2 linked regions of the Tribolium castaneum genome follow. The protein of the gene in region 1 interacts with the protein of each later gene in a pairwise test. Links are inferred from orthologs where the notes say so. Each region holds a gene or a part of one and is shown on either strand. Other genes may lie near its edges. The genes, in order: ADP-ribosylation factor-like protein 3 and ADP-ribosylation factor-like protein 2-binding protein.

Region 1 (11,375 bases):
CTCAAACCAAACAGATTTCTACAGTACACACATATTTAAGTTGGACCAATGCAGTTGTATATAATGTGGTATGCTTTACATATCGTTTGGCGCCCAGAGCGCGTCTCCACTCCCCGAAGGTGGCGCCCGAGACTCGACCTAGCCGCCAAAACCAAACATTCCAACCATATATGTGCCAGATTTTTTATTCGCGAAAATTGAACAATTTAAATGTTTAAAAACAGATTGTGATCTCGGCCTCGGGCCCTTTGATCATCTCGGAATGCATTTTTTGTTTTCGAAGAAGCTGTGAGCTTCCCAGTTCTCGTAGTCCTAAGGTTCAAAAACACTGTAATTTTAAATGTTTGTGTGTTTCACTTTTGCGCTTGCCAATTACAGTTTGGGGCGGGGCCGAGGGCGCTTTTCACCCACCGACTCGGCTCCTACCAAAAATACTCTTCGGCTTGATTGTAGTGTATCAAAATTCCGTAATTCCGCGCGATTATAGTAGAAGGAAAATTTTTCATATACAAAACAATATTCAGCAAGTGTGCCACCGATTTTTGTGCAATTTATATAGCATTTCTTGCATTTCTTATGTGATAATTTGTTACGATAAAGACACTTTCTTTGACTACGTTCGCTTTTTTCCAAATGTGCGGTCCAAAAACATAAACCTTAAAGTATACGCGTTGAATACACGATATTTTTAGTACGTAAATCTCTTACAGGCTTCAAAAGCACTATATAATCAAAAGAATAAAGTTGTTGTCATTTTTTATCATTATTTATTGTTGTTTTATTGAGCGGCACATCACGCAAAGCGGGAAACCTTGACGGATTTAGCAGCGCCCTCTTGGCGCCGCCTTTTCTCAGCGTGTTTCGTGTTTTGCCAGTGTGATCCGGGACTTTACAGATTATCTGAAACGGTACATTTGACTATTCGACAGTTCGTTTTGATAATCGATTATTATTACGTAATTTTTCCTGTTTTTATTATTTAACTTGTTTGCATGTTAAACTTTATTAAAATGGACGTACTTTTCGTTTTTTATCTTTTTTGCACCAAACGTGTCAGTATTTCGTTTATGATAAAATAAACAAGAAAAACAATAACGGACCAAGGTCTTTTTTAATTAATTGAAATAGATGTTAGATTTATCATTCCACACTATAGCTTTTTCACAACTATAAGACTTCTAATAGTTTCTATGTTATTCCTAATTATTTTTTTACAATAAACACATAATTTTAATGATTTTTTTATATCAACGTATTTGTTAATTAATTTTTAGTTGTGTAGTGTAGTGGAAATATTACTTAAGTTTTTTGCTTTACAACCGTGTATATAGTACTGTTTCAGCGCACTTGAATGTTTGTGTGCCTGCAGATTAAACTGAGAACATTTTTATTACAATTGAAACCTCTGAGCAATTTTTGTGTTAATTGGAACAACCATAATACAACAATAGTACACAATTTACCCACATTTAATCACATTGATGAAGAGCGGATTTTACGTAAAGAAAAAGTAATGAAATGATATTTTTATGTATAATGTTGTGTTTGTTATTTATGTTGCAATATGGGTGCGTCGTTTTTCATTATCAGAGCACCGCTGTATACGTAAATTGGCGTAAATTCTTCAAGTAAAAAACATTTCTGCCGACATAGAGTGTGTCGCGACTGGTTCATGCGCTAAGATACAATTTGTTCACAGACTCCCCTGTAAAACACCTTAGATTAATTGAATATACAGAGTGTATACTTAAATAGATGGTAGTTCTTACGCGTCTTTGTTGACAGTTTACAAGTACAAGAGGTTAGGTTTAAATACCCCCACACTATATAGAGTTTTTGTAAATGAGACACTAATAACCAGGTGATGGCACTTAACTAACGTAGTTTAAGATTTTACTTAGTACGTAATGTAAAAGTAGTAGTTTAAATGTAGGGCCCATGCTCTTCATCAATGTGGTAGCAAAATCAGATAGAACAGGTTCAAACAGGTCGTTTATTTATTTATTTTCACAAAAAGATGGCATATTCAAAACCACACTCTACACCACCACACAAGGTTAACGATTGGCTCTAAAACCAACACCAAAAAGTGTCTTCTATACTCGTTTCTTTGTTTGTCTAGTCGAAAATGTGCTTAAAATTGGTAGAAAAAAGTTTTATAAAAATGTGATCGGTAGTATTGATGAAGACTGAAAAAAATCAAAATTTAACCTTGGATAATTTTGAAATATGCCATGAATACGAAATTAATCTCCGTTGCACACACTGGGACCAAAAGTACTGATTCATATCCAAAATATCAAAAATTATATCAAAGAAAGATATTTTTTGTCTCGAGAAACTTTTTATTCTTATTGCTATGCTTAAAAAGTGGTGCGGATTATTAATTAGGGATGTTTTTTATTATTACGAAAAATTTGTTGAATTTTTGTAAAATGAAATGATTCCATGTTTTGACAATATGTTAGATTAAAATTTTTGACGATTAGGCCCTTTCCGGATTCGAAACGGTCTCGTTGTCGACGAAACGATTTTTTAAAAAAAGTACTCATATTATAAAATTGTGACTATAAATGCCTTTTAGCGTGAATATTATATTATATCAATTTGTTGTATTTTCACATGTAAAGGAAAAAGGCTAGACGGTCCGTTTTGTTTGTTGTTGCAAATCGTTTTTTCACTTTTTTATTATTATATTTTTTTAAGTTTTCTAGCTTTTTTCCTAAAATACAACGTGTTCTTGTTCGTAAATATCTGTGACTTGTAAATCATGTTTTATTAAAGTTAGATGTTTGAACAATTGCTTTGTGGGAAATTGTTATTTTCAGAAAATATTTTAAAAACCACAAAAATACAAAAAAATACCATACACATTGTATATTTATAATGTAATTCTGAAGTATACCAGTATTTATTATACTGTGGACTACATTAAAATGTTCATGGTTGTTTTATTTCATCCCGCCCTTCTTATCCGAGTCACCCTGTACACAACACCAGCGTATTCCAAGGACCACACTTTAGACACTTCACAACTTCCTTTGAAAAATCCCACAGGAAAATCAACTCACGAAAAACCTCATTTTCGTCGTTCTTCAACTGTTTGTATTTATTCCAACCACAGCCAAACAATTTTCCCTCATCTGAAACCACCAAACGTCACATCCAATCAAACTAAAGCACTAACCAATCACCTGTCAAAACAACTGTATGTTTATTACCACAGCCAACATTTTTAATATTAAAATCAAAATCTAAGACTTGAGGCGTTGCCATAATGGACACCCCATCATCACTTCCCCCTAAACCCAACTGTCCACTTCCGTTCCACCCCCAAACGTATAAATCCCCCTCTTTACTCAAAGCACACGAATGCCAGCCTCCTGCCTCAATAGCCTCAATTTTCACACCACCTAACGCTTCTATAAACTTAGGTTCGGATTCATCATCCAGACATCCATGCCCAAGTTGTCCGCGACTAAAAACATAAGATTACTTCCGTCCCAATTGGCCACTAGCACCCACCTTCCCCTACCAAAGCTAAAAACATTTCCGCTTTTGTCTAAAAGTAAGCAATGTTCGCGGCCCGTTTTCACCTCAATTATATCCCCGCTTACAAATTCTAACTTATTTGGCACATTGTACAAGAGTCCCTTTTTCGTTAAAGCTACACAAAGCTTGGATCCAGTCGAAATTTGAACAACGGTGTCATCGTCATCCAAACCCATCAATTTTGGCACTTTTATCACAGATTCCGTTATTTTTAACAAGTCTCCATTAGTCAAAAGCACCAAAACTTTGTCTTCGTTGCATGAAATTTGTCGAATTTTCCCTTCCACGGGAATTGTTTCATTTTTCGCGCCTCGAAACGCCACAACGTTCGCAACCAACAATACAGCGAAGTGGTAGCTAACCTCGATATTTTCCAAGTCCCGGTACACGTGATCGATAAAATTTACTACCAAGTCTTGTGGGCTGGGGAACTGGCGATGGAGGTTGAACCCATTGTAATACACTTTCATGGTATCGATTTGTTTAAGTTATTTACGTTGACAGTTTTGTGTTTGGTGTTGTCTCACAACTTTGACCCTTTTCGCAGCTATTTCCTTGCTTTTTTGACTTGACTTCGGCTGGAGGAGGTCCCAAATGGTGAGGATTTTAATAATAAATAATAAAACTACGGTTTAAATACTAATTAAAGGCGTTTTACAATAAATTTCTTATTGTAAATGACACACTTGTCAAACAATCACCATGGTTACGGCACTTTGTATACAATCGGCTAGGCAGCCAAATATACACGCGAGTGTAGTTTGGTGCATAAACTGCAGGCGCAAAAACAAATTTATCAATAGGAGTGATAAAAACAATAATCCTATTACTTATTAATGTTATTATTTATTATAATAAAACATTTTCAACAACTTTCTATAGTCGAAACATATTTTAACGACTCCTGACGATTTTATCAACCCAACTCTATCTTTTCTATTTATAATGCACCACAACTCTTGTAAATCTTGTTCTAATTCCGCACAGCATTTGGAACAGTTAAAACACTTTTATACTTTACATCGCAATATAAATGACGACATTCCTAACGAGAGTTTCAATTCAAAAGAATTTCAAAATCGAAATTATGATTTGTTTCGTCCAAAATATTGTCAAAATTGCCATTTCGTTCATTTAAAACTTCCTGCGATGAAAAATAAAATAAGCGAGATAATCGAAAAAAAAAAACGTGACGTCACAACCGCCTCTCATAGAATCCTTTTATTACTGAACCCTCTAAGTGACCAAAAAATAAAAAAATAACTCCTTTTTCTGTTCTACATTTTGTTTTCAACTTCTTGATAAATTTTATCAGTGTCACTTAAAGTCAAAAACCATTTGATTATAATATTGAACCAAATGTTCGATAGGCGGCTATGACGTCATAATTTCAACTTTAAATAACTTGATTTAGAGAGCAGATACAGAGAAACGGTTTCCACTATTGTAATTAGCGTTTTCAATATCATTTAAAACAAAGTTGTTTTTTATGTTACCAATGCCTTTAAGTTCCGGAGCGTACGTTTTTCCAGACGACCTTTTTAACTGTCGTAATAACGACTGCTATTCGTAACTAGGACTACATTCCTAAAAGTTGTGTTATACAAACTAGTAAAGTAAATTAATTGTAATTTAACCCCAGATTTATGAAATAAAAAAAATTTCATAAAAAAGGTAACTGTTTTTTTAATAGTTTATTGAAAACTTAATACTAATAAATATTTTTTTTTATTTTTTTAATAATAATTTTTAAAATCTAGTTTGTTTAAAAACAACATTGTTGACGTTTTTTCCAAAGCACTCTTCGCAAAAATGCTTTTTTCTCCATTTTGGTCAGCATATAAGATTTGACCAAATCATGTGATACATCGTTGTAATCAGGAATAAAAACATTTTTCAAAAATACATAAAGCGAATGTGTATGGTTTCAATAAGAAAAACCAGAGTTGAGCGTTGTAACTCTGATATCAACAACGCCTTGGAAAATACGATGATACATTTAGATTCCTTGTAAAAAAATGCGTCCTAGTTAAAAACGTATAGTTCTTTTGATTTTCGCTTGAAAAACTAAAAACAAAACTTACAAATTTTCGTTCTATCGGAATAATTATTCAAAAATTTAAAATAATTGAGATTCTCATGGAGGAGCTCGAAAAACGGACACTCCGTATATAAAAGTCACAAAACACTAGATCAATAAAATACAGTAGTTGTAAAACTAATCACTATTTTATTAATATTCATTAATTGTAGGTTTACAGAAATAATAATTGTGTTCTATCAAGAGACAAAATTGACATGATTCTAATCTATTTATTTTAATCCTTAACTAACTTAAAACGTTGTAATGTTTGAAGGTATGACTATACAATTTTTCAAAATTTGTAATCCGAGTTCGTTTCCGAATCTGTATTGTTGGTGGCAATTTACAGGCGCGGGCTCATAAAATTATGTGAAACACTCTGTATGAATTTTGTTCTATTACATATAACCGTTAATAATGTGATCTGACCGTTTTATATTTTTATTTAACATTTAACGTGGTAACAAGAACAGGCTACGACGCCAAAATACCTGCTCAGTTTACACAGCTGTGTAATGTGTGCTGCCTACTAATTGCTGCTCAGGGGCAAGGGGATTTATTTTTTATTGACCAATATCGTCACTTTAATTTTATACGGTTTCATAGTTTTCATACCTTATATCATTGTAGATTGGATAAAAATCAATTAATAATTAACTTTTAGGGTCTTTTGTCGCTTTTGCGGAAGCTTCGCGCCGCCCCTGAGCGCGAATTGCGTTTGCTTCTCCTGGGCTTGGACAATGCGGGCAAAACGACCATCCTCAAGACCCTGGCATCTGAAGACATTAATCACATAACACCCACAGCCGGTTTTAACATAAAGTCGGTCATATCTGAAGGTTTCAAACTGAACGTTTGGGATATAGGGGGACAGCGCAAGATCCGCCCTTACTGGAAAAACTATTTCGAAAATACCGACGTTTTGGTAATTTTCTCGCCCCCAAAAACGGCTGTTTCTAGTTTGGCTTGTTCTAGATTTATGTTGTGGATTCGTCTGATAAGAAACGTTTGGAAGAGACCGGAATCGAATTATACGAGCTTCTGACCGACGATAAACTCCAAGACGTGCCTTTGTTAGTCTACGCCAACAAACAAGATCTTCCTGAAGCTCTCACCGCCGCGGATTTGGCCCAGGCTTTGGGTTTGCCGAGTATTAAAGACCGACCCTGGCAAATCCAGGCCTGTACGGCCGTCCGAGGCGACGGTGTCAGAGAGGGCATGGAATGGGTGTGCAAAAGCATCAAAAAGAAATAAATCAAACGCAGATTCCGTCCATTCAACCCACTACACGCTATTGTTGACTTAGAAGAGTGGGAAAACTATTGTTTCAGCTAATTCGAGTGCGGTTTTATCATCAGCTTTGCAATTGTTTTTAATAAAGATTTTTTAAAAAGTGACCGGTTTTTCCTCCAGATCCCCCCAAGGCTATTCAAATCGAAGGTCATTGGCCTTTTTAGTTACACTATAATCACTCATAATCATGCACATTACCAGATGCGTGCGATATAACGGGACGCAATCTTTTCGCAATGAGAAGGAGAGAGATTTGAATTTGGCGCGCACATTTCGGACAAAGGTGGTCCTGCTTTAAATTCCGCAAACATTAAAAAAACGGGAAATCAATCCAAAAACGACTCAAAATATTCAAATACAAGAGTTCTAGAATAAGTATGTGACTCACCGGTGAACGGCGCTCGACTTTCGTGACCACAAATTTACGCTTTTTTTCAAACACACTGTATAACCTTCACTCTCACTATTGCTAAACGGTGTTACAAGGCACTTCACGTTTAGTTTTTGCCGAATATTGGACAACATCGGAGTTTTTCACTCAAAATTCTGCACTAAAATTTGCAAACGCGCGATTTTCTTTTGATTAAAGATGGAGGGTTGAAGGGCAGAAACCCGGGAAATTTGAAATTGTCGAAACCCAGATATAATTTTTTTCAAATAAATTTGTGGCCCCTTAAATAAATATACAGAGTGTTCCATTATAATACCCCTATAGGAGTACCGGAAGTTCTCGATAAAAATATTTTCAATATCTCAGCTTTTCCGGTTTTATACCGGAAGTCGGTATTAACCTATTTTAAAAGGGAAAAACGTTTTTGGGTTACTGAAGTAAGGAAGTTTTCATCAGCCTTCACTATATCTATCTAAATTTTGCCGTTTGTTGGATTTGCACCTTCCACATTAAAAATTAGAAAACTCAAAAAACTATGCCATTAAAAAAATAATTCGTTTTTGGAGATTTAATAAAAAAAGCTCATGTACATCTTTCCTTAAATAATCTCAAATTTCTAAGAAAGGTTCAAAATCCCCACTTTTTTTACATTAAGTTTACAGAAATCTATCCAAACAGTCATCACTTAGTTTCGTTTCTTCATATTAAATACTTATAATGTCCCAATTTTTTTCTATCACTGTTTGTTCTGAGGGTACAAAGCTAACTTGATTTTTTTTTAATTTCATATGTATTTTTAAAAGAACATTTTTTTGAGTTCTATGTTGTAACAATTGCATACTTTATTTTAATTAACTTAATTTAAATAATTATTAATTAACTTAAAGAATAATCTTATAAAATTTTGAAAAGTGTATAATTTTGTTAGACTTAGAAATATGTATACCTATCGTTAACTCTTTGCCGCTTGAACTTTGAGCAAGAAATAAGTAAAAGTTCATATGTAATAATAATAATTGTTAAAATAACACTTTTAACGGAAATAGAACACATTTTAATAAAAAAGTTTAAACACGAATTACATGTTTATTATGCGACAAAAAAATTTCAAAATAATTGCTATTGACCTCTTAACAATAATGAATACGTCGAATTAAATTTTGCAAAGAATCAATTACAATATTTGGAGAAATAGTGGCGATTTCGTTTCTTATTCATTCTTGTAGGTCTTCAATCGCTAATAACAGTATTTTCAAAGCTAACTTAGCTCTACTTTTTCAGATATTTAGAATTAAATTTTTATATGTTTTAACTTTTAATAAAAATAAAGGAGGCTATATGCTACATCACTGAATCCAGAAAAAAATGGTTTTTTTACAAATCATTAACTTTGGTCCTTCGTTCCATTTAAAAAAAATCAAGTCAGCTTCGTAATTTGAAAATCAATTATGGTAGAAAACTGAAAAAGATCTAAGATGATAAAATTTTACTATTTCCCAAATTTCAACGTGTTTTGTTAAAGAGTTCCGAAAATATTTAGCTGCATCCATACTTTTTAGCGTCCCTGTATTGCATTATTATTTAATACGTTCCTCAACACTTTCTTTTACTTACTAATAGTAATATTAATTCTTTTCAAGTTATATCAACTTTCTGTTAACATTGAGAAATTCATTAGCCATAGCTCTTTTTCCATCTGTTGCCTTGGAAACAAGAGAAAAATAAAAAAAAGTCAAAGCTATTCAAACCTAAATTGTGAACAAAACTTGCCGAATTGTTTACATTTGGAAAAATTCTTTTATTAAATTTCTCTAAACTCAACCTTAAGGTAATTTTGAAGTCTGTTAACTTTTTTCCAATTTTGCAGACAATTTAGGGAAGATGTAAGTATTGTCTTTAAAAAAACCTTATTTATTTTCAAATAGCTAAATTTAAGTATAAGAAAAGCTTACGAAAACTTTCTTAGAATAAATCCTGTAATCCAAAAATACTGTAAAAAACATAGCTTTCCAAATAGTTACCGACTTCCGGTATAACCGGAAGTGCCGCCATCTTGAAACTATTTTCACTGTACAAAACCTAATATATTACAGCTCATTACCAATTTTGAGATAAATATTACTTCTAATGAAGGATTTATATGCAACACTGTATTATGGTAATAAATTATTCATGAAGCATATTAAAAAAATGAATGTGTAGCTAATTGTATTAACTAAAACAAAAAATACAATTACAGTATGTTATCTGTGTTATCAGATTTCAACTATTTATTAACAAATTATTGTTTACATTTTTGTTGAAGAAGTATAGCGGGTCTTTTTTATTGCTGTAATCACAGTTTTGATAAACGACACTTGAGATTTTTTCGTTTTTAAAGTGCTATAGATAGTACTATCTCTTCAAAATTGGTGGATTTGCAGATACCCGTTATCAGTGCCCAGACCACATAATTGTTTCGGACCACTCGGAATGTTCCAGGTAAGCATACGACCTACTCAACAATCTTAAAAGGTGTATTACGAGTGGCAGGTAGTCAGTGTTGAATCGAAACCAGAACCGTTTCGAGGTACCGTAAGTACAGTTACAAAATCATCTACGTCAGGCCGGAAAGTACCATCGAGTTCTGTCACTTGTGGTTTGATTGCAGCCGCGATGTGTGACATGTGAATGGCCCAACATTTAAAAAAGTAATTACTAACGCGAGCACTTTTACAAGGTAAGTGTCTCTCAGGGACTTTCAATTAACTCGATTTGTTTACTCTTGAGGTAAGTTCAAGGCTACTATCCCGAGCAGGCACCTCTTGATTTCGGGTGACCTAACTGTAACTTTTGCGGGATTATTCGTGCGTCACCGACACCATCCTCAAAATTTGGGTACCATCACGTACCATTTGATTGTTTTATCAAACTCCCACTGGGGGTTCACACAATAGGACATGTTTGAGCAATTTGAGATAAAGCACACGAGTTGTAAAACGTGACTTTATGGTACGTTTATTTCAGATTAGTACCAATGGCTACCATCAATTTCCTTCTAGTCATCCTAGTTATCACAAGTCCCTCTCTCCAGGACCTCGCCAACAATCAAATCGACGATGATATCAATCCCTTCGCCGAAGCTAAAGCCGAGATCCTCAAAGAGCAAAACCTGCAAAACATCGGCGGAATGATCAACAACTTGATGCAATCGGACGGTGCCAAACAACTCGGCGATATCCTGACTAACGCCGCTTCCGGCGAAAACGCCGGTGAAATCCTCCAAGGTCTGGGCTCAGTCTTGGGTCAGAGTAAAGGCCTCGACCCATCCATGCTCTCAATGCTCTTCAACATGTTCCAACAAGGTGGTACCAGAAGTGACGACTCCTTCGACATGAACGCCTTAGCCTCCCTTCTGGGTAGCTTCATGGGGCAATCGGACGGCGAAAAGGCCAACATCTGGACCTACATCCCCATGATCCTCCAAACCGCCAACGCGTTCCTGGGGCCCGAGGCCGAAGCCCGCGCCAGAAACCACCAAGACCACGCAAACCTTGTGCCCCCGCTCCTGGAGAAGCTGCACCTCCTTTTTGACCACTTCATCAACTCGGAAATGGGCCGGAAGATGATGAACACCGTCGGGGCCGAGAAGTTCGTCAAAGTGTTCGCCGACGAAAATGGGCGAATGTCGTACCGACGCTTCGTCGATATGTTGGAGAATCATTCGTTTAGAAAACACTGGATTCGGATGCTCACCAACCGAATCGCCTCAATTATCTCGCACTTCTCCGACCCCAAAACCCAGAAGAAGTATCTAACGACGTTCCAGCACTTTATCAACAGTCTTATCAAGAGTCAAGGGTACCCCAAGGCCGCGCTTTTTGATCCAAGTCGACCAACTGAAACCATCACAGCCCTGGCTAACCATTTTGCCAAAGAGACGCTTCACATGAAGATCAGCTCGAAGCAGTACGTGAAACCATTCGTGGAATACGTGCAGGTGATTAGTCAATAATAATAATAATAATACTAATACCTTTATTTCCCATGGTAATTTACACACACTATGTAGGAATT
Region 2 (9,855 bases), on another chromosome or scaffold:
AGGACTTTAGACTCGATCCACCCCTTGGCCGGTTTGACAAAAATGGATATTTTAACCGCCATTCGGAATGCAAATGGGCCTCGACCTGCCCTTTTCGTCCCGGAAGTTTCCTTCGAATTACTAGTCAAGAGGCAAATCCGACGTCTTGAAGAACCATCACTGCGTTGCGTTGAATTAATCCACGAAGAAATGCAACGTATTATACAAGTAATTAATAACGTTTTCCCCAAAGTTGTGCTTCAGTGTCCGTTTTTAGCATTGTGGAAGCGAAGTGCAGCAAGAAATGCTGCGGTTTCCCAAACTGTACGAAAAAATCGTAGATGTTGTAACACAGTTATTGCGGAGACGTCTTCCGACGACCAACCAAATGGTGGAAAATTTAGTGCAAATCGAATTGGCGTATATTAATACCAAACATCCCGATTTTTATAAAGAAATAGCAATGGTGCCATCGATGATTAAATCCGGGGACGGATCTCGTCCAAATCGACCAAAGAGTATGCTAATCAAACACCATAATACAGTGGCGGAGACTTCCGAGTTGGTATGTTTTAATGTTTTGTAAATTTTTGCACAATTTTAGTTGTTTTCTATAGATTGCACGTGGTGCTGTAGAAGCATCTGACCAAGCCGATTTCTTTAATTATCTCTTTCGAATATTGCCCGTGTCTAGTTATAATGACTTCATGAACGCTGTTCAGGTATATATTTTATTAGTTGCAAAACTAATACCAAATACGTGTGTGACGTTTTTCATCGCAAATCATAATCTCGCGAATTAAGTAAATCCATTCTAAAAATAACATTATTAGAGTTTTCGAATGTGTCATAAATATTCACGATTTCACAACGTTCAAAAAATTATCAATGCAATTAAATTTTTGTAAAACGTGTTTCAATTAAAACAAATGTTTTTTAGAGATCGAGTTTTATACATTTAAAAAATTATGGATTTAAGATACGAACTTTTTAATAAGTTCCAATGATTTAGATGTTTCCATTTATATAATAACTGAAAAGAAATCTTGTTTAGTGTCTTATGACTTTATTATACTTTTTACATGTGGTATATAAGAATTAATAATAATTAGTAAATAATTTGCATTACTTGAGTCCTAATTTTTAAAAAGAGACTAAGAATTCAATGCAAATACTGATTTGTATTTAAGATACATTTCTTCTTTAGCCTTAAATTATTTGTCGTGTATGTAATTGATTATCCGGAAAATGGACATCTTGGAAAGCCATATTAAAGTAAAAAAGAAGAATAAAACACAAAGAAAATTATCTTATTTGTTACAAAATTGAAATATTTTGCAGTGACATTACTGCTTTATGTAGAAAACTAACAATTACTAACATATTTTGCTAACTTTTTTTAAGTCAATAACATTAGTGCTGTCTTAATTTGAATACACACTGTAGGGTATTCCCAGTTTTACACAGTACGTGAAAAAATCACAGACATACACTTCATTTAGCGGTCAACAGAAAAAATTAAATATTTTTTTTGTCAAAATATTTAAAACTAATGTCTACACTTTTCTAATTTCGATTTTGTAAACAGTTGTTTAGTTTGTTACTTACTTAACACATCTTATTACTTTGGAATAAGAAGGAAATAATTAAAATACACTCACCTTTTGACAAAATCAGTATGTGTGCTTTTAAATTTCCTTTATTTCTCCCCGTAGATACATTCCTTTGGCACACATTAACTACTCGAATGTTTAAAAACCGCGCACTAATAAATGCCTGTTTTAAGCACCCGAAAATTCGCAATATGCATTAAAGATAGTTTTATATTTTGAAAATCATAATTAGAAATATGTTGATTTTTATTTAATTTTAATAAAGTTATTCGGCGTCCGTTCACAACAAGAAGTAACAAACTGAATAAAATTATGCAGCACACCAATGTGTAAATATCGATAGATCAACAAAAAATATTGTAATCTGTTTACGTATTAATTATTGTTTTTTCTGTTACATTACTTTGTTGGGGACCTAAAATATACAGGGATCAGAGAGATTTTAGTTAAAACCGCCATCCTGTCGTCCTTGGTTTCCTACTTGCGAAATATATTTTTTTTTTTTTTTAAATTACGAAAGTTGTAAGGCACTTTTTTGCGTAGAATTTAACAACGTAGTCACCGATTTTGTTGTGCTTACAACTAGGGTGTGTGATTATTTGCGAAAATGTCTTTCAGGTGCGTTCTTCGAGCAACCCTCACTTGAATGAAGATGCGACAACTTGGGTGTCTAATTTAACCTCCTCCCAAAACGGAACGGATACCGCTCTGACGAATCACATCAGCGGTGTGCCCGAAAGCGTAAAAAATGAGGAGATAAAATCAGTTCTTAGTCCTGTGAAACCTGTCAATTTGTTACCACAAGTTCCAATCAACAGCAGTTCGTTCAGAAAGCTTTCTGAGAATGAGGAACACGACTGTGAAATTATTGGTATTTATTTATTTGTTTTTTTTTCAGTGTTAGGGATTCTATCTAATATTTTGCAGAACGCTTGATTAAATCGTATTTCTACATCGTTCGTAAATCAATTCAGGATACAGTCCCGAAGGCGGTAATGCATTTCTTAGTGAATTTTGTTAAAGACAATTTGCAATCCGAGTTAGTGACACATTTGTATAAAGCTGACAATGCTGATCAGTTGTTGGACGAGTCTGAGCACATTGCTCAGAGACGCAAAGAAGCCGCAGATATGTTAAAAGTGAGTTGCTCCAGCTTTGTAAGACTGGTTTGCTGTAACAATTATGTTTCAGGCACTTCAAAAAGCTGCACACATCATTAGCGAAATTAGAGAAACACACATGTGGTAAACTTGCAGCCATATTCTCCCTAGTCAAGAGTAAGCGTGTACTGGCCCTCGATGTTAAAGCTGTATTTAATCTTTACTTAAAAGGATAAGAGTAACACTGAACGATTTCGGAATGTCTTGTTCAAAAACTTCATAAAGCGAAAACGGATATTTGTTGAAGTTTTATAAAAATTTAATTACCTTCCTGTAAATAATTGTACAATTTTTATCAATTCTGACATCTTTGTAAAGTTCATCGATTCTCATTTTGGTCTGATATTAGACTTGTTACTCTCTTTTTAGTTGGTGCATTACTGTAGAAATCACTTTTTGATGTTACACGCGCCATAGTTGTATTTCCTCGTATTTCAATATTTTTGATGCATTTTTGTTCTAGCCTAGTTGCGCATCAATAAATTATTGATTTGGTACAAATTTTCTTAAACCCGACAGTCAGCAGTAACAAAATGTATTTAAACAAAAATCAACAATCATGTAATAGTGGATTAACATAAATAGGCTATTCGAGTATTATAAGAGAAAGCAAAAGATAATAAACAAGCTATCAAATTGTAGCAGGAGAGCTTCTCCCGTCGCAGTTATTCTCAATCACAGTGGTTTGAAGAGTGTCCATTTCTTCATCAGAATCAACACAAATCGTCGGATCGGAATCGGGGTTCTCGAACAAGTTTTCAATCGGTTTCAACTTAGATTTCTGGTTGATAACAGCGTCGCCTTTCGCATTATTGTCCCCGCTTATAAATTCCATTTGCAGTTGTGGAATTCTGGAAATTAAAATTAAAATTGCACCAACTGTGAGAAATATCTTACATGTTTAACGTATCAAAATCGCCAACTTTTTGATGACTATCATCAATATTATTCTCAGTTTCGACGCAAATCCCGTATTCTTTGCAATTCTGAATTGCCACTTTTGTCGCTTTCACGCAACAGTTATCGTAGATTTTCAGACCTAAATTGCAGTTGTGAATTTCGGTGCTCTCCATGGTTACGTTGGACCCCGAATTGCCGACAATTGCGGTACTAAAGTGACTAATTTCGCAGTTTATTGTTTGCAAATTCGCTCCATTCAATATGAGGATTCCCTGATGAGTTGATGATTTTCCATCCCCATATATTCGACAGTTGATTAAGGTAAGTTGGCCCCCGCGGACGATTATTCCACACTGAGGGGACGACGCGTCAATGGTCATATTTTCAATAACGACGTTCCCGCCTCTAAAATCCAGCATCACGTCCTCTGTTTTGGAGCTTAATATTGTGTTTTCTGTCGCGGAGACTCCTTTTAACAGCCCCCCATGTTCCAGTGCCCCAGTGACTGTGATCATGTGTTTGCCTTCTTTCACAATGAATACATCATTTGGATTGGCATAATCTAAAGTTGAGGATAACTGTGGCGAAAACCTTACAATCTCAGTTGGGTACGAGGCTTTAATTTTTTGTAAGAACTCAATGCTGTCATCTAGCGTATTTTCGGCTTGAATCACCCAAATGTTCTGTTTGGTGTCATCGTGAGCTGGAACCATCTCTTTCTGTTTCTTGATGACAACCTTCCTGAGCATTGGGTTCTCTAAAATGTCCATTTCTCCTTTAATTTCCATCAGACGAATGTGGAGCTCCGACAACTGTTCAACCGTGGGGTCGTTGACAGCAGCATTATCCCCATCACAGCTCTCCAAATCGTCAAGTTCAGACTCCAGTTGCTCCCTTTTCTGCTCCAGTCTCTTGGCTTCACTCATCAGGGAGTGCAAGCGCTCGGCGGTGACCCGTGGTATCACCCCGTTTTTCAGGTCATAGTACAGCCTCAAGCGGGGCTCCAGATGCTTGCTTTTCCAGTCACCCTCATCATCCTCTTCGAAATCCCACGGCATGACCAAATTGTGATAGAAAAACCGCAGCATGTCCAGCACGTTCGCAGTGGAGTGCAAGTTAATGGCAACGCTCTTATCTTGCGCTTTCGTGGGCCACAGCTGGATCAGGGGCACCCAGTGCTTCTCAGGAATGTGGATGTCGTCCTGGACAGCCAAGACCTTGACCAGCGCTGTCATCTCCTTGAAACTCACGTCCAGGACGAAAACCAGCACCACCGTCGGAAAGGCGATATTGAGGGCCTCGCAGGTTTTGCGCTGGATTTTCCAAACCGCCTGCCACCCGTTCGGATCCAGGGTTAAGTCCAGGTAGAAGCCCCACTCGTTAGCGATGGCAGAGGCCGGCAGAACTTCATAGCCCCCAAGCACCTCATTGTATTCTTGCAAACGCTGTTGCAGGCTTTTATCAAACGTTATCACCTGGTCCATTTTACTCAACGCTTGAAATTTTTTCACGTTTTAACTTTTAACGGCTACAAATTTTAAATTTGTGTCACTGCTCTGGTGACAAACCAAACAATCCCTAGCAAAAACGTGGTGGGGTTCGAGTCACTATGGTAACCATGTAAACAACAATGTAAAAAAATGTCAAATTATTTGTGATCAATTCCATGTTGTGTTGAGTTGAACGTCCTTAAAAATACAAAAGGCCCAAAAAATGGCACAGGAGCAATGTTGGTCGTTTCATTTTGTGGATGCTGGGAATAATTTGATTGCTTTAGGTTTGTTTGAGGGTTCGGATGATTTGGATATTTCACATCATTGTCAAGACGTTGAGGAAAAGTACTTTGCCCAGGTTGTGGGGCACATTGAAGACATTCTCCTTGATGATAGCTTTCTCAAAATACATAAAGATTTCATGGAAGAATACTGGACGGAATTTGAGGAAAGTGACGAAAATAAACTCGTTTACACCGACATATTTAAAAAGTACGTGGAAACGATAGAGAAGTTTTTAGAAACTGAATTGAAAAAGAAGATTCCAAATTTCAGTATGTTGGAGTTCGAGTACGAGTTAAGGTAAAACACACTGGACAGTTTTGGCATTAGTGGGATATTTTGTAATATTCCAGAAAACGACCCAATGAACTTGTAGGGGAGGTTTTTGAAATTTTATCAACTTTCACAGACTTTGTTTCCTTTAAAGAAAAATTTTTAGATTACAAAGCGGTGTGTTCACATTGTCTTCACTTAAAACCCTCTTAAATGTCTTAATTTCAGATGAAGGAAGGCAAGACGGTAGATTTTTCTAAGGATCTTTACGTAATACAGTATAAATTAGAAACTTTGTAACTTTATTGAACGAAATGTTTAATATAAAAAACCTTAATGCATTAATATTTCCATTTGAACCAATTTACTATTTGTGTCTCCTGGCATTCTGTAAGGCAACATTCCAGTGAAATTAATCAAGATTTTTGCCTGTTCCCTTAAATGTGACAATTGCTGAAATACAATAAAAACAATCATAAGTTATTTGAATAGTTATTGGCTTACTTTCTCAATGGTGTTGTCGTTAAACCTGCTTGGAATATATTCATTTCCTTTAATCTTCTGATAATCAGCAAACAACATATTCATTGTAGCCAAAAGCACATCAGGAATCACTTTGCAGACGTCAACGTTCAGTTTTTTGAACGCCTTTACACGTTCTTCCACCTCTTGTGGTTGACGAGGGATTATTTGAAGGTCGCTCAGAGTCTACAGTTACAAAAAAATAGAAAAAACATCACAAAAAACATTCAATTGTTACTTTTAATGCCAACGAAAACTGTTTGGAATGATACTGATCGAAAAATACTGCAAGTTGTTTCAGTTTAATGTAGGATGTAACAATATTGGATGACGCTTTGTAGCCTTCTCTCGTGTATCTGTCGCTCAAAATATTTCCCTTCTCCAACAATCTCTCCTTCAGAGAGTTTGGTTGAGAAGGCAAATGAACCACTTGTGACAGCAAAGTGCAAAATAAATTCAAAACCTCCTCTTGATTCTGTAAAAAAATATTAACACGATATTTGTTTATTAAAGTATCACTCACATCAGCCAAATCAAACACATCTATTGCTTCCTCGAATAATCCCTTCTTTACCAAAGAATCGCCAATCATTTGAGCAATGTTTTCCGCACTGATTTCAGCGTTAGTAAACTGGTCGATCAGCCCTTTGGTTCTTATATCATTGGGCTGAATGACCCCCAAAATCTTGTTGTACTCCTTGGTTTCAATAGCCAGATCACACACACAAATCTTGAACAAATTCACTCCATCCTCATTGGTAAAATTGCGCAAGATATAAAAGTAGTGCAACGCCTCATTAGGACAAGTTATTTCAAATTTGCGAACATAAATCATAATTAAACGCGCCAGGTTCAAGCGGCGACTTGGTTTCACATCCATTGGGTCAATACTAACTAATAAAAATCATAAGTAAACAAACAATCGCAAAAACTTTTACATACTAAGTGGTGCTGAACTGTCCCGTGAGCCAGCCAATAAGTACAACTCGTTCAAGGCAATGGCCATATGGACAGCATGAACTCGGTACCTCTCAATTCGGGGCAAAAATTCAATAGCGGCCTCAAATTGACCGGTTAATGCGAGCACTTGGAAATATAAGTGGGGTTGGTTCATGGCGTCATAATGAGCTTCACCATACTCTTCCAAAATCATCCGCTAAGGAATAGTGTATTACGTAATGTGGGAAACACATACGAGCGTTAACAACTAAATGTTACGTAAAAATTGAAAACAAATAACTTTTTCTTGAAAGTATTGGACATAGTAATGCAAATAACAATAATTGTTGCATACAATAACTAATAAACGTGTTGGGTAAAGTAAATAGTGTACACACCTGCAGGTCGTTGTACTTAATGTGGTCGTCCTTTTCGTAATCAGCTCTCACTAAGCTCAATTTCAACCATAAATAATCGTCCGCGGTTCTGGCGACTTCCGAATGCTCATCAACGACATCGCAACAGCCAAGCACCGCACAGACGATACGCTTAAAAGGGTCAGTTTCGTTACGTACATGTCTGCGATAATTGTAGCGCACATTATCCTCCAGTTTGTAAATATCTGGACTGTCAGGATTATTGAGTTTTGCTTCCAAAATAGCAACAATGTCTTGAAACTCTTTTTCGTTTTTCTTCTTTAGACAATAAATTGCTGCTGCTAAATCTCCGCTCCTTATACAGTAGTAGACCATGGGCCATAAAGGCCTTCCATCGATTTTGTCATCTTTCAAGCCCGAATATTCGCCTTGGAGGCGAACACCGACGTAACTGCGGACTAAGGGATAAGTTCCGGGAACTCCCCCAAGCATCGCAGTTGATAGGTTTTCGTTAATGATGTTACTCATATACGTCTTATATCTAGAATTATTTACCTAATTGTGGTCTTTTTTCATTGAATTAGAAAAATAAATTACCGATCTTCCAGATATTTCTTGCCTTGTTTCACCAAAGCGTTTATGAAAGGGGCAGAATTTCGAGTTTTAATCTGATCCTCTGACTGAGGAAACGGCGGCAACTGAGTCATGTATTTCATTATTTCCCACATGTCTTTAACTTTCTGAAATTTTTAAGCTTAAGAACGACTGTATGTTGTCATTAAAATTTTGTCTGATATCAAAATGAGGCAAAAACTTACGGCGTCTCTCAAGTCATTTGCCACGCTGATGAAGCTGTTTATGAGACTTGGCTTCTGAATGCTCCTGCCAATTGCTTGATTGTATTCCATAATCTTGGCGGCATAGAGAGTCTCTGCCACTCCTAAGTTGGGGGTAATAGAAATAGGCCTCTCCATAAAAACGGATGAATATTTTCCAATTTCTATGAAAGCCCCAGATGGTCCCAGCATCGAATTTAGGATTTTTCGTTTTTCTTGTTTCCATTCGCCAGTTTGGTGTTCCCAAGAGCAGTCGGAAATTGTTTTCATGCACTACAATATGTAATTATGCGTATGTACACTTTGGGAACCACGTATGGATTACTTTATTGAAACCGTTTTCAAATACACTCAAAATGCAGTTTTGGATTTCATTTTCAAGAATTCCGACTGCATTTACGTCCTCAACCGGCTCAATGGATTCGAATGTGCGCTTGGTACTAATTGATTCCAATTTTTGTATTATTTTTGGCAAGTCTACGCCTTTTGATCCTAACAATAAATTCCTGAAATTTGTTACGTCCACGTTATATTTAATTCTGTTAACAGTGAATAAGTCAAAGACATACGCTTGAATGTCCTTTGCTCCAGTTTGAGCCACTTTTGAATATAAATCGTTAGAAGCTTCCAAGACCTGCCGAATAGATCTATCAACTTTTGGCAGTTCTTTACTCCCTTCAATGTCAACAGTGATTTTTTCAGCCTCCTGGAGGAGGTCGGCAAAGTCGCCCATGTTGATATTTCTAAAAATGTTGGAAAAAATAATCAAAAACAAGAAACTAAAAGTTGGGTTAGGACAACAATATAACCTTCAAAAATACATAAAATTGATGTATTTCATAACAAGAAGCAATTTATCGGCAAAAACCTACTTGAATTGATGTTCAAACACACAATTTAAAACGTATTTTCGTGAACTTTTGTAATTCTTGTAAAAAATGCCGCTACAAACATGCAACGGTTAAAAACGATGCTGCTTATGTAACCCAAAATACACTTTTTCAGCTAGTTTCAGCACATATAGGCAACCCAAAATTTACGATTTCAGTTTCAGTGATTCTGATTGCCGACGCACTGAAACTGAACAAATCCCCAAGTTCGTTTTGTTTTTCAGTTTTCGGAATCATATCTTCTAATGTATATTTCTTAGTTTTGTTTTCGTATAATACAACTAAATTTTTATCGATTTATTGTAACATAAACCGTAAACATAAAATAGAGCGTCGATGTCGTGCTGGAAATCACTTTGAAAGCTGTTCCAGCTTTATCGATAATTCGTCCAGATAGCAAGGTAATGCGTGGGTGAAGCTTCACCTGACGCTTTTTCCAGTTGCGAGTTCGTTCTTTCTATTATTAACGCCGTACTCTGATGAAACAGACGTCGCGAAATTGAAATGTTTTGTTAATAGAATGGCTTAACATCCTTAAAACGTGTATTCTTTCTTTATCGATTATTTATTAAGTAACATTTATAAATAGCA

What was found.
Region 2: the proteins of ADP-ribosylation factor-like protein 3 (region 1) and ADP-ribosylation factor-like protein 2-binding protein interact in binary tests that used the Homo sapiens proteins (3 or more experiments, as listed by UniProt). The link is inferred for Tribolium castaneum from reciprocal best matches to the Homo sapiens genes ARL3 and ARL2BP.

The regions. Positions count from the first base shown.
Region 1 is NC_087395.1:18,692,207-18,703,581, forward strand, and holds ADP-ribosylation factor-like protein 3, read left to right. Parts: upstream 1-4,022; 5' UTR 4,023-4,146; coding exon 4,147-4,149; intron 4,150-6,299; coding exon 6,300-6,560; intron 6,561-6,610; coding exon 6,611-6,889; 3' UTR 6,890-7,029; downstream 7,030-11,375. Other genes in the region: RCC1 domain-containing protein 1, read right to left, coding at 2,980-3,143, 3,195-3,478, 3,526-4,022; uncharacterized protein LOC655224, read left to right, coding at 10,336-11,298. UniProt on the Homo sapiens protein: Small GTP-binding protein which cycles between an inactive GDP-bound and an active GTP-bound form, and the rate of cycling is regulated by guanine nucleotide exchange factors (GEF) and GTPase-activating proteins (GAP).
Region 2 is NC_087398.1:8,839,343-8,849,197, reverse strand, and holds ADP-ribosylation factor-like protein 2-binding protein, read left to right. Parts: upstream 1-5,244; 5' UTR 5,245-5,365; coding exon 5,366-5,381; intron 5,382-5,429; coding exon 5,430-5,727; intron 5,728-5,780; coding exon 5,781-5,877; intron 5,878-5,928; coding exon 5,929-6,000; 3' UTR 6,001-6,033; downstream 6,034-9,855. Other genes in the region: Drp1 (dynamin-1-like protein), read left to right, coding at 1-207, 257-544, 597-701, 2,211-2,463, 2,520-2,731, 2,784-2,840; nesd (protein nessun dorma), read right to left, coding at 3,384-3,603, 3,650-5,136; nuclear pore complex protein Nup93, read right to left, coding at 6,034-6,153, 6,205-6,408, 6,461-6,697, 6,746-7,116, 7,165-7,378, 7,560-8,079, 8,136-8,278, 8,357-8,647 and 2 more. UniProt on the Homo sapiens protein: Together with ARL2, plays a role in the nuclear translocation, retention and transcriptional activity of STAT3. May play a role as an effector of ARL2.